Styela clava: one gene and its partner. Each later gene encodes a partner of the first gene's protein in a complex. Links are inferred from orthologs where the notes say so. Each region holds a gene or a part of one and is shown on either strand. Other genes may lie near its edges.

What was found. The genes of interacting proteins can lie anywhere in the genome.
Region 2: cysteine desulfurase-like (region 1) and LYR motif-containing protein 4-like share a complex: the UniProt entries of both Drosophila melanogaster proteins name them as parts of the mitochondrial core iron-sulfur cluster (ISC) assembly complex. The link is inferred for Styela clava from reciprocal best matches to the Drosophila melanogaster genes Nfs1 and bcn92.

The regions. Positions count from the first base shown.
Region 1 is NC_135251.1:29,315,982-29,323,162, reverse strand, and holds the start of cysteine desulfurase-like, read right to left. Parts: upstream 3,016-7,181; 5' UTR 2,859-3,015; coding exon 2,857-2,858; intron 1,829-2,856; coding exon 1,654-1,828; intron 1,054-1,653; coding exon 901-1,053; intron 588-900; coding exon 505-587; intron 265-504; coding exon 156-264; intron 1-155. UniProt on the Drosophila melanogaster protein: Catalyzes the removal of elemental sulfur from cysteine to produce alanine. It supplies the inorganic sulfur for iron-sulfur (Fe-S) clusters.
Region 2 is NC_135255.1:1,696,654-1,703,407, forward strand, and holds LYR motif-containing protein 4-like, read right to left. Parts: upstream 2,373-6,754; 5' UTR 2,211-2,372; coding exon 2,134-2,210; intron 1,488-2,133; coding exon 1,367-1,487; intron 891-1,366; coding exon 834-890; 3' UTR 553-833; downstream 1-552. Other genes in the region: uncharacterized protein LOC120331577, read left to right, coding at 108-185, 359-454, 529-551. UniProt on the Drosophila melanogaster protein: Stabilizing factor of the core iron-sulfur cluster (ISC) assembly complex that regulates the stability and cysteine desulfurase activity of Nfs1 and participates in the [2Fe-2S] clusters assembly on the scaffolding protein IscU.

The sequences.
Region 1 (7,181 bases):
GCAAATTATTTCATTTACTAAGCTCTCAGAAAGTAAACAACCAGCTTACCAGCTATATTCTAATAATTCTTAGTGCTTTGCAATATAATGAATGCACAAATGGTCAGATGGAGCCATATTGAACTCCCAATATATATATCTTAGAAGAGACAAACCTGCACAGGTAAATAAGTAACTTCAATGCCTTCACTTTCCATAGATCGACATGAATCTAACACACATTTATGTTCAATTTGGGTTGTTATGATGTGACGTTTTTTACTCCTGAATACAAAAATAATTGAAGAAATGGCGTTACAAAAGAAATGTATTCAATTGAGTTAGCATATAAGGGAAGGCTTTTTTGTTATAATAATAGACTACACAGTTGAATACAGTACTCAATTATAATTTGCTGATAAAGTTAAGCATTTTCAACTTGTGGAATCGCTATACAACGAATACAAATTATTAAAATATCTATTTAAAGCTGGCTGAAATTTCACATTAAATAAGTCTACTTACTTATAAAATCGCCCAACTCCTTTTACAGCAATATTATTGCATTCAGTTGCTCCACTTGTAAATATAATTTCACGTGGATCAGCCTATGTAAATATATAACATAGTGAAATTATAACCAATTTTGGTTTATTCAATTCAATTGATCTTCTAAAAACACTTGTTAACACTTGAGATGGTATCTTTGAAGATTTTCCAGCATTCAAGAACAAATGGAATTATATTGACAAACCTTGCCCTTGCGCGTCATCAGACATGTCAATATTTTAAATCTGCGTTGGAATTACCCTGGCTAATTTGCACATCTACCTTTTCCCAAAATTTATTTTAGCATAACTATGCAGGTACTGCCTGGTGTAATATTAAAACAGGAATTTAAGAATGTTAAAACAATGTTACATTTATCAAACTTGCAACTTGTTTTCGAGCGTCTTCAACAGCATCTTCCGCCTGCCATCCATATGCATGTGTACGACTATGTGGATTTCCATAGTAACTTACAAAATATGGAAGCATTGAATCCAGCACTCTTGGATCCATTGGTGCGGTGGCCTTGTAAAAAGTTAAATATATAATATGCAGGTAAGTTCAGAAGAAATAATTATACATTCAAAATCCTATCCCATAAAAAAAATCCTGATAATAGGAACGACGCGGGATATTCTCCTTGCAGAATTTTATGTTTTCTGTATGTGCTTAGCATGGATTATATTAGGATAATATTGTTTTCCCAGTCGATAGCTAATCAAATTGGAAAAACAATTGGAAAATAAAATTTACAAAATTCATGCAAATTCAAAACTTATCTTTGAGATATAGCAATCTTACCATCAAACATTACACAACTGAGCACAACATTTTTAGTGTCAAGAATTCAAATATATTTTTTCAAATAATCAATTCTGTTCAACCTCATTTAAAAAGGTAATATTTCAACAAATCAAAGTTAAAGTCACAATTCCTACACAATGAATGGCCTGTTCTAGCCATGAGAAAAGTAGCAACTATTTGCATGCTAACATACAACATTTACATATTCACTGGATAAATTACCTTTGACTAAAATTGACTTCCCTTTCCTCTGTAGGCTAAACATGAAAAGCTAAAGTAAATATAATATTTCTGGTATGGCAATCATTATAGTTGTGTTACCTGAACATCCAAATAAACAGGACGAAAGCCAGGTTGCCATTCTCCATGGCCTTTTTCAATTGTAGCTTGAGCAATTGATTTCCTTTCTTGAGTGATATGAGAGGAAGATGATGAATATCGAGTAAAAAGTGGGTACTTGTTTGTCAAACTGACGGATTTGCGCAACAATGAGTGCCTGTGAACAAATTAACGAAGTTAGGGAAAAGAGTGGTCAGTAAAAACTTAGGCAGGGGTGATTTAGCCCTACATTATTCAGTTCTTTGCCTCTCACCCCAACATATCCTCTTTTTCATTGCATTTAATTTTTTAAACCCAAATTTGAACACATAATCGTATATGATGGGATTTGATACAGGCTGTTTTTGTCTGAGTTTGGCATGTTTTAAAAACTCACTTTGAAATCTGTTTTTAATGACGACAATATAAGTGAAAATTCCTAACAAACTCGAAAAAAAAAGATTGAAGCTAGAGTCATGATGGCCAAGGGGAAGTTTCACAATATTTTTCAAATCACTTGTAACATCTATAGCAGACATAGGCAAAATCCGGCCCGGTGGGTAATTCAATCTGACCCGCCTGATGCTGCCACAACCAAACTGAAATTTTGATGTTTTAGTTACAAATAGCTCAAGGAATTTGTTGAGATTGCGGTTAAATTTAGTTTCGGCACGAGGTTTATTGTTTTCCACTGTTGCTTTTGTAACACTGCAAACATTGTTCATAAAATGTAGTCTGACTCTTTACTTCATACTTACATGGCCCGACAGTCAAGGTGGGCAAAATTTTTGGCCCCTGATTCAAGAACCATGCCCACCCATGATCTATAGACTAGATTTTGCAATTATTACCGGCAAATAAAGTTGATAGGGTAGATAAATATGATCTCAAATTACTGTTGTTGAAAAGTCAGCTTTTAACTAAACAATGCTTTGTTCCCATTACTAAACTTATGTTCCACTAGATCGAATTGAGTAACTGCTTGGGAATATCAATATGATTTAATACAAAGTAGAATACAAATAAATAACCACTGCAAAAACGATAAAGCAATGCTCAAATATCAGAATACCAGCAAAATTCCAGACAAATGTTACGGTATGCATAATAATAGCTATACCTATATACAGGATAGCCTATATGACCATTTCAGTACTACTGAACTATAATTAATACTTCTTTGTAACTCTATCAGTCTATACTTACATGATACTGGACTTTTTTACACACAATTCCAATATATTAAAGTTTGAAATTCCAAAAAAATTGCTTAGTATTCGATTTGGTCTACCTGAACATTATTCACTATTCAGTAGTTAGTATTAGAAGCTTAAAAACTGCAAAAGTAAACCCTTAATAATTAAAGAATAATCACAAAACTATGATGTGCTATATTTACATCTGCTACGTATCACAACACAAAGACAGAAAGCTCAGAAGATGCTCTTTTTGACCACTGTTCTCCCTAAATTAAATTAGTTGAGTTGATTCAACTAAAGAATCACTTAGGATAGGATTTACATATGTATCCCCGGGGAGAAGAAAGTCGATAAGACGGCTTAATCATATGGCAAACTAAGACCTCTCATCCGGTTAAGGTACCAGTCAATGTCGGGAATCTGATATGGGATCAAATGGTCCACACCGGTACCGTATCTTATGCCATCATATTTTTTTCATTGCAGCATTGTTTGCATTAGGTACCGTACCGTACCGGTACCTAAAGACTGAAAGACAGATATCTGGATATCGTAGCAGGATAGCCCCATGTGCTGAATTTTTTTCTCGTCAACATGGTCTATTTACATTTGCGAATTTGACTTTCAATTTCTTTCACCCAATTCCCTGCTTTAAAGGACCATTCAAGATTTATAAAGTCTTAGATTAAATTATGTTGCTCAGACACTGATACAAGATACAGGCAGCTCTGCGGCAGCTGACTCTGAGCATGTTAGGCTGTTTGACTGAGAATACTACGCGCTGTGTGTTTCGGTATTTACTGTTGGATTTGTATTGCGTAATATCAATATGATTAAAGCCAATCTACCGGGAAGAAGTTTATGGATAAAATTTTTTTTTTAGATTGAATTTAAAGTTAAATGAACCTTTCCCCGATCATCGACTTCCTTGTTTACTTCGTGACATTGGCCAATCAGCAAGAAGCAAAAAGTGACGTAACAATGCTCCCCTTTCGCATCCGCTCAGACACTTTTCTCACTCAGACAGATTTTCAAGCGTGGTCGTATAAACATTACCTCGTTTTCGCGTTTTTGAAATCTATTCGTTAGTCTTCAGTTGTGTTTCGGAAACTTAAATATGAATCAGATAATTCAATGATCACTCTGTCTTCCTATGAGTGTTAATTTAATTGCAGTAATAAAAAATTAGTGTAGAAATAGCTGTGATAGACTAGGCTAAAAAAATTTACCGATACTTTTAAAAAACAGATTGTTGTATGCGATGAATCATAGGGATGGTTTAAAACACATACCCCATTTTACAGGTGCCAACTCGCAAAAGCACTCTTAGAATAACCGCGAAAATTTTGCAATAGTAAAGTATAGGAAGAATTTTTTGGGGGTTAAAGGTCGGGGAAAGGTCCATGGTGGTCGATCTGTTACGGGTGTTCTGCGAGGTTTCGATCCTTTACCAAGGTCAGACGAAACGCTACAGAAATAAATTTGTGTTAGTGTGCAGCAAGACTCTTGAATCACTTAGGATAGTTATTACTTATCGATCTTTAGATCGGGTCTTTGTGACATAAAACACCATACCACTGTATATTCGTTCCTTATTCTAAGATCTTTGTTCCTAAATCTTGAAAAAAGAATACAAATTCATTTAAATAACTTTTCATGGATATGAATGGGCCCCCATATGTAGTCACCCCTTCTTCACTCGATTCCGACCTCGAGTCATGAGGGCCGTTTGGACAGGGTGCTACGATGAAACTATTTCAAATAGGGAATAATTGAAACTCGATTTTTACTCAAATAATGGCGTACAAGTATCTAAATTCAACAACAATCGGTAAAAATTATCAGTCAACGGCAAAGTCGGTGCATTTTTGAGGGTTTCCCATTGGCTCAATTTGACGTAGATTCGCCACTGCTCAAAAGTACTTTTTTGTTTAGTTAATTTCAATTTCTTGTTTAAATTAATTTTACTGAATTTTTTTGTTAAGGAAAAAAGGGGTGAAATGAAGTAAAACAGTGTTATAATGTGAAGAAACAAAAATACACGTAAAAAGTGCGTTCTGAAAATGAAATAAAATTTTTTTTTCTTTAGTTGTATGCTAGTTTTACTCAATTTGTAGCAATTAACCCAAATATGCCAATATTGAAGCAAAGTAGAGTGGAAATAATTTGGGAAGCGTGCATACACCCGCACACATAGTGTGTGTAAGAATAAATTGTATATTTCATGAACATCTGACCCTGTTAAACTGCTTTCGATCTTCCACAAATTGTTTTTATATAATGCATTGTTGTTTGGAAATTTACTAAAACACAATATTGATATCGTAGAAATCATTGATATTATTTTCTTCAGCGCTTTTTGCTAGTATTGTGATGTAGAGGGTATTTATTAAGTCCTGACACAATTTCAAAATTTTGTTTTGTTCTAGTATATATTGAAATGCACAGGATTTTTATCAAATTAATCTTAAAAATAAACAGAATTACATTGGAGAAGCAACAAGCCAAAAGCATACCCTTCCACAAACAGAATTAGATAGGATTGACAGTCCATTTGTTACACTTTTATTAGTAAACAATGACGGAACTCAATAATAACTGAAATGAAATAAAGAACAAGAGTTAACATTAAATCACACACTGCACAGTCTACATAAATATTCACTATCTCCCCCCAAGTCTTTTGTGCGCCGTTTCCTAGGAGTAGCAGGGTATGAAAGACTGAGTATATGCAGTAAAATGATCATATTTCTGAGGGATTTAAGTCATGACATAGTCTTTTTGCCATCTAGGAGCATTTCGAGCACGATTCGAACGTCGGGGCATCCATTCAGGTGACGTGTCAACATCTATGTCAGCGTCCGTAGGCCATGAAGGATATTCCACTCCTGCTTTTGTCGGCGGGCTGTTAGGATTTGTGACTTCAGCTTGTGTTTTGTGATCGTTGGCTTCGATCGGTTCGTCGTGTTCCCCCGATGGTGTGACGTCGTTCCCCAAAGGCTCTTTTCTCGTGTATTGTCTTTGAGCAGGTGGGAGCTTACAAAGGATGTCGTTGTCGATGACGCGTCGTGGTTGAGGTCCAATAACGGGTGTGTATTTACGCAGAAATTTTCTGTTGCGAAGTGTCACTCTTCCGGATCCGTCGACTTTTACGGCGTATTGATCAAATGGTCTAACTTCAATTATCAGTCCCGTTTTGTCCCATTTTTTCGGTTCTGGGCCGATCTGATTTTGAATCCTTACGCGATCTCCGATGACTAGTGGAGGGAGCCTTTTCGTGTGTTCCGACCATCTTTCTGCCGATCTCATATGCCGGTTACGAAGAGCTTCCTCTCTGGCTGCCAAAGTTTCACGCCAAGTGTTGTGCGGTTTATGTCTTCCGGGAAGAATAGGGATGAAGTCTTTGATTGCGCGCCCGAACACGCACATTGCTGGTGACATTTTGGTGTCCGGGTCCGGTGCGTTTCGGTATTGCAGGATGGCCCGCTGAAAGGAGTCTGTGTCCAGTTCGCCGTTAGGCCCAGTGTTGTTGCAAATAAGTCGTTTAACAGTTTTTACTCCGACTTCTGCACGGCAGTTACTGTGTGGGAATGCCACCGATGATGTACGCCCCATTCTCTCAAAAACTTCTGTGTTGCAGCGGAGGTGATCTCAGGTCCTCCGTCAGAAGCCAGTTCATCTGCAATACCAAATGTCACGAATGTTCTTCGTAGGCTGCTGATAAGTCCTGTCGCACCACCAGACGTCCTTTCGACTATTGGCCAATTGGAGTAACGATCAACGATAACTAAGTAATTGACACCTTTGTAGTGAAAAAAATCGGCACAAATGCATTGAAACGGATAAGATGGTGTATATGGAGATGTAGGCGGAGCGCATGGCTGTGATGGAGCCATGCGATTGCATTCTCGGCATTTGTTGCGTGTTGTTAAGATCGCTGCTGTAATTCCTGGCCAGAACACGGATGCTTCTGCCCTTGAGGTCATTGATGAAACTCCTTGGTGTCCGGCGTGAAGGGCACGTAGAACGTCTCCGCGTAACGTGGGGGGGATGACGATTCGATCTTTGTAAATTATCACCCCGTCCACAGTGTAGAGGTCGTTCCTGAATCTGTAATACTCTCGTAGCGGTGTTGGAAGTTCAGTTCGCTTATCTGGCATTCCCGACTCAATTATTTCGACTAATTTGTTCATGTGATCGTCGCTGGCAGTGGCCAACTTTACCTTTTCCCTTGTGACAGTTTGCAGAGCAACAATTGATGAAGCTGCTGCCTCCATGATTGAGGTCTCAAAAGTGCTCTTGTGATTCACGGTAGTGCGAACTTTCTCCATT
Region 2 (6,754 bases), on another chromosome or scaffold:
GGATTTAAACGAATGGAAAACATTGTTTACCTGTTTTTGAAATGTACAAGTGCCTAGTTCTTAACTCATTTCTACCCGGAAACTTATCGAACATATTTTTTTCCCAGAAATTGGAAAATTCATTCGCCAAAGTTTATATGAACATGGGGAGAGAGTGGTTGGAATTGTAGGATTCTTTATCGTTGGTATGTCCGCTTAATTGCATGCAATTGCTAGATTCTTTCTATGAAGTGTTTTCTCATAATGAAGGCATTTGTGTTATTGCATCAGTTAACTCCTAAAATATTTGCTCATGAATCCATTTATATATTTTGTTGCTTACTACAAATTGATCAATCATGTTCTATCATTTTGACAGTTCCTTTAGCGTTCATATACCTTCCATTCTCAAAGCACAGACAGGAAAGAAATCAGTATATTTTTGAGAATTACCGCACATCCTATGTCTATCCATGTAAGTATTGCATTTTCTAATAAACAGTGCAATTGATGGCGTATTCAATCACAAATGCATTGCCTTTTTTCCAGATCCGAAAAGAGCAGAGGAATGAATGATATTACATCTTTTATTTATTATTTCAAGTTTGAAAATTCAATAAACATAAAATGAAGATTGATAAGTCTGTAGCATTATTATCACAGTAAAAGTGGGATGCCCGTGCTACACAGATAGAGACTATAATCACCCCCCCAACAATATTAATCAGCAATATGTATAATTTACTGGGCTCATTGACTTGATATTCGTGAACACAACAATGTATGAGGATCGGAGAAACTATACGGAGGTAAAAATGCTCTGATATTCGAGTGGGAAATATCATTGCTTGTAGTTATGAATCGTTATCAATAATAAGTCTCTCTGCTCTGAACATTTCACCAATTGTTACCTGTTAAACAGAACACATTATAATTAGAGTCAAATAGTAATCACATGTTTCGTGGTGTTTAAACTGGAGACATGATCATCTCGCACCTTGAGCTGTATTTAAATCTAATATTCTTCAATATACCACAAATTGAAGGCATCATTGGATTGATTGATCTCTTGCCAAACAGCAGCGTTGGCATAACTGTGGCCCTCTTAACAACAAGTTTATTATCAGCGCACAGATGTATGTAATAATGGCTTTTTCACAGTGTTTGTTCTGGTAGTAATTTGTGTGGGCAAGAGGCACATGTTGGTCGTATTTTGGAATTTGAATGCTGTGGGTGCATCTTAATTTGAAATATAAATGACAATTGTTTATCAGCAAAGATTAATGTGGACCGCATGCTAGCGTCAATATGCATATTTGGCCCAGTAGTAAGTACCTAAAGTTTGCCAACCACTGCCTCACAGAGCAATAATATAAATGAGATTTACTTGTCTTTTAATCATTTCCAAATTCTTTTGTGCTATGTGTAAAAAGTCTTGGATTTTGACAGGATCTGGCTCTGATTTGTTTGCCCGGAAAGCATCCTTAGTTCGTGTAATAGCGTAATGCCTTGATATAAAAAAATACATATATAGCAAACTGGTGTGATAGATGAAAGCAGACACACTTCTGTGCCATTCATAATGTAGTAGTTCATAAGTTTTTTTCAGGAATTTACATAAGAAGGGCTTTGACTCAACTCTTCAGAAAAAATTCAAGATTTAAATGCTAGAAAATAATGATTAAGAAGCACTGCTTGCTTTATAATCGCACAATAGCTCTGATGCCTGTTGTCTGCGAGAGAACAGCATATTGTCATTAAGACAGAAGTGGTGTGTTACGCGAATCAGCCATACACTCAGGGCTAAGCAAAGGCTTTCGGCTGGCACATTGTTGTACTAATCAAACTTGCAAATCCACTTGTGTGGTGCAATGGCAAGTGGATTCTAATGTGGTTCACATGGTCAGACATTGTAATACAGCAATCATATGTTTCTGCCCAGATGGCAGAGGCGTTTCTCTATTCAACAGCTTACTATTTTTCAAACTCATTATGACCTAAGTTGATCTTGTGTTTTGTCAAATTTCATACAATTTTATAATGTCAAAAACCAAAGCGCTTTCATTTTAGCATGGCATGATATCTCTTGAACTTCAGTCAGTCAGTGTCAAATAGGAAATGTTATAAATTAAGCCTATTGTTTTTTATTCAAACCTGAAATTATAGTCCGAAAACTTCGAGCTTTCTTTTAGCAATGCTTTATAAAGTTGCAATGCTCTTCCTTTAGCCATAATAAACAGTATGCCGGTGTGACGAAAATCTGAACATTAAACTACTATACAAATTTTCTCTTGGTATGTACTGGTTGCTCTATATGTAACTCAACTGTTAGTTACTCCATCATCAGCGAAAGGGCATATAATAATTGAAAAAAACAAATAAATAAAACTGATTAAATCAAGAGAATGTACAAACAATGTAGATTATAAGGTGTTGCAGAAATGAGTGGTTGCCTACATCTACATGTTTACTCATCTAAAACATAGTTATTTTTCAGCAAACAAAAAAGAAAACTTGACAAAAAAATATTACTAGTTGCCCACCATATTCATATTTTTATTGGGATTTCAAAATTGAATATAGTTAGTAACCAGCCATAGTCAAATTGCCATAATTTGAGTGCACGAAGTCGATGAAGTGGTGGAACACTTATTATTTCATAATTTTTTTAAGTAACACCAAATGAAAATTTCAGAAACATTCAATCCAAATTACTAAGAATTATCTCAGTTCCTATCAACGCTATAAGTTTGTGCATAGAAATTAAATAGCAACAGACGAACCCAGACTGATATCTCATCAGCTTAAATTAAAAAAAGACATAACAAGTTCAAATACAGGGCTACACCTACAAACAGTACAAAAACTCGACTGCTAAGCGAAAGGTCTGCATGCCAAAAATAATTGTCTGAAGACTCGCTGTGACTAGCTATGACAGTTTAAAGTGTGTGAGTGCATGTGAATGAGCGCAAGCCGCTGGTTATACTGCTGTAATGTTATAGCACTTGTTACCCTCTCGGGTCTATAAAGGTACATTACAATACAACTAGTCTAGTGTAGACCCGTTTCGTACCTAAAGTAGGTACTTCTAGTTGGCGTAGCATACCGTAACATATACTGCATATGTCAATTCTGCGTCATCAAAAATCACGCCACAGCGACCTAATAGAGCACTTCAGACTCTCCGGGGGTCGGCAACCTGCGTGCCTGATCCGGCCCGCGACGCTTCACTAAATTATAGTAACAAAACATCCGTTTTGAAGAATATATTCTTTAAGACTAAATTATATTATAACCTAACAATTATATAATTTACAATTACTCGTTTATTGAGCATATAATTTAATTATAATTAAGCAAATGGCAACAAAACGCAGAAAAGTTTATGCTAAGTGCAAAGGGGTTTAATGGCGCTGAAAATATTCAAATAGAATTTTATGAGATGCAATGAGGAAATAAATCTATATTCTATTCTAGAGATGTATCACTGCTTGATTTTTATTATAAAAAGTACCATCCGTTCGATTTTTCAACTTTCTAAAAATATGTGCGGCCCGCCAATGACTTGCAATCTTAACCCTTTCCGTGCGATGGGCACGTATACGTACCCACGACAAAACTCGCTAGATTGCGGCGGGTACGTTGATGTACTCCACTGTTTTATTTAGCAATCGGTCGCAAACTGTTGGTCTAGTTTTTCCGGGTTTTAGTTTATTGATAAGAAGTCTTCTTCGAGATTAACATAAGCGACGGTAAATCTCGCTTTCGTTTACCATGGAAATTTTATTTGCGGTGGAATGAGGGAGTGTTTTTGAAATTTATGCAAATTTCGGTGTTTTTTGCTACAGCAATATTATGCTATTGTTTGCCAACCAAGAAGCGGTAACAGTAAAGGATTTAGCGAATATTTCTATTTTTTATTACGGTTTGAAGTTTCAACACCCAAAAAAAAATGCCTTTTTTCTATCCGGTTTGTGACTCAGACCACCCCTTTTGAAAAAAAAAAATTTTTTAATCGCCTATTGCAAGCTCTTTAAATAAGCTTTCCAACGAGCCGTCAGTGGGCAGCAGAGGATCATTACTTTTTCGTTAGTCGATCGATTAGTTGTGAGGGTACAAATGCATAAAGTCGGCGTAGCAAATACGATTATTTAATAAAAAATAAAAATTGCATGGAAAGGGTTAATTTTGGCCCGCGAGCGACAAAGGGTTGCCGACCCCTGCTCTACGCACTGGCACTGCCATCTATCATCCAAAACGCGCAGACGAGCAACCGAAATCGAGCAGATATTTCTCTCGTTTTCTCGTCGCGACGATCGCGATATGAGAGAGATCGCTGACGTTCGTCAAGTCCTTATTGTTGGCGCAGGTGCCATTCCGGGCGATCGTACGGATATTGAGGGCTCATTGAGGTGTATATCAATGGGGAAGCTCTATGACGTTATTGTGATGTCGTTGTGGCATAATTTTTGGATAGCGTAGTCAGGTGGGGGTTGGGATTAACATGTGAACAAATTGTTATGCTACGCCCACTAGAAGTATGTTAGGTACAAAACTACACGAGACCCCATCTTTGCACCTAGTACTTAGTAGACTATTCTACAGTTCAGTGTGATCTTTGATTCTTAATTTGTATAATTTTATATCATAAAATATGCCAATCACAGCAAATGTTCATAACGAGGAATTCCGGTTGCTAATTACTGGGCTGGACCATTTTCGACCAAATAACTAACTGATCCCATACTCGACATGGATCGGAGGCCGTGGTTCGCCATATGGTTCGTGTTATCGGCTCTTGTTTGGCGCTTGTATCAAAATTAATTTCAATAAGGCAATGATTGCTTTTAAGGCATTATTAACATGGCATTATGTTCTAGTTTTGCTACACTGACTACAGGTTAAGGAAAATACAAACAATACCCGCAGACCAAACTTTCACAATTTTTGTACCGATGAAACTGTTGTTTCCCAACCATTGATGGGGCGCCATCAGTACTTATTTTCGAAAGTTTCGCCAAAAACAAGCCAAGACGCTTGATCTTTTTCTTCTCAGATCCCAACAGACCAAAGCCTCTAGTCGTGCCATTAATAAGAACAATGGCTGCGATCTCTGCGGTAATTTCAAAATTATTATCAACTGCCCGCAGAAAGAAATCCAATTGGAGTATTTGGTTGTATTAAGATTAAATTAATTAATTAAATTAATCTCAAGTATGCCTGAATCATCTTGTGTTTGTAAGAAGCAAAAGAATGGTGCACTGTGGATACAGTGTGGTACAAAGAAGTGCAATACATCGTGGTGGCATGTGGAGTGTGCTGGTTTACAAGGTATCACAAAAGATTGTATCAATAAAATATAGATGCCCAAGTTGGGTTGTAGAACCATTAGGATTGTTGACACCTGCAAAATCGAGCAAAAATATAAGCGATGCAGTGCAAGATGAAATAAAAAAAGTCCTCCTGACATCATTAAGACTGTTGTAGGAGAGGGGTCATCGGCAACCACCAAAAGTTTTGCCGATTGCTTTAAGGAGCAAAACTCGGGAAGCCAAGTCAATCTTATTAAACAGACTGTAAAAGAAACTTCAGATCTTGCATTGCAAGAAAGTATGAAAAGAATTGACTCGAATATAATGGAACAGAGAAAAAGAAGCCGCAACATTGTGATTTCTGGATTGGCGGAAACTGGGAATGAGGACATAAAGCAAATTGTATACTCACAAATTAAGAGTAAAATTTCTGGATTCCAGTCCTCCATCATCTTGAGCTGCTACCATATAGGTAAGAAAGAGACTGGAGAGAGTGCAAACAGAAACAAACGGCTCATACTAGTTACTCTCAGAAATGAGGAGGAAGCATCTGATATCCACAAGTTTGGCAAGGGAAGGAAACTAGAGGATGACATTTGGATTAACCAAGATCTAACAAGAACTGAGCGTGAGGTCCAATACCAACAAAGAAAGGAAAGAGAGACAGGAAGAAAAAATCTGAGAAAATTGCAAAAAAAAGTCTAGTGGAGATGAATGTATGAAAACTAGCTTGGAACAGATCAAGACTATGAAAATTTACTACACAAATGCAAACTCAATTTCTAACAAATTAAATGAACTAAAGGTTCTGATAAGTGCGTGTAAATATGACATAATATGCATAACTGAAACTCATCTAAATCAGTATTTCCTTGATTCAGAGCTGCACATCAATGGCTATAATTTATTCCGTGAAGACAGGGAAACTCTCAGTGGGAAAGGAGGTGGATCTCTGATCTACGTCCACTCGGGACTTAATGCTGAGAGAGCACAGTTCTTCAAATCACTTGAAAGTGTAACTGTTTACGTATCTCTGAGGTCTGTCAAATTTGTATTGGTTTGTTTGTATCGTGCACCTTCACTAGATGATGAAGGTAATGAAAACATCCTATATGAGCTGGTCAGACTGACTCAAGCATCAGCAGACGAGGATATCCTTATTGTGGGTGATGTAAATCTGCCTGATATTGACTAGAACGTTGGTAGCTCTGTGTTTGAAACAGGTAATCAGAAAATTGTTGCTCAGAATGTATTTATGGAAAACTTGATACAACTGGGGTATTCATGGTTCATCAAAAATGAGGTTACTCGGAGGAGGTTAGTTGGAAATTGCATGCAAGAATCGCAACTTGACCAGGTATTTAGTACAAATTCTGCGTTGGTGCTGGAAGTGAACAAAACTGCAGCACTGGGCAAAAGCGACCATCTATCTCTGGTCATAACTTTGAATATGGGGGTGACAA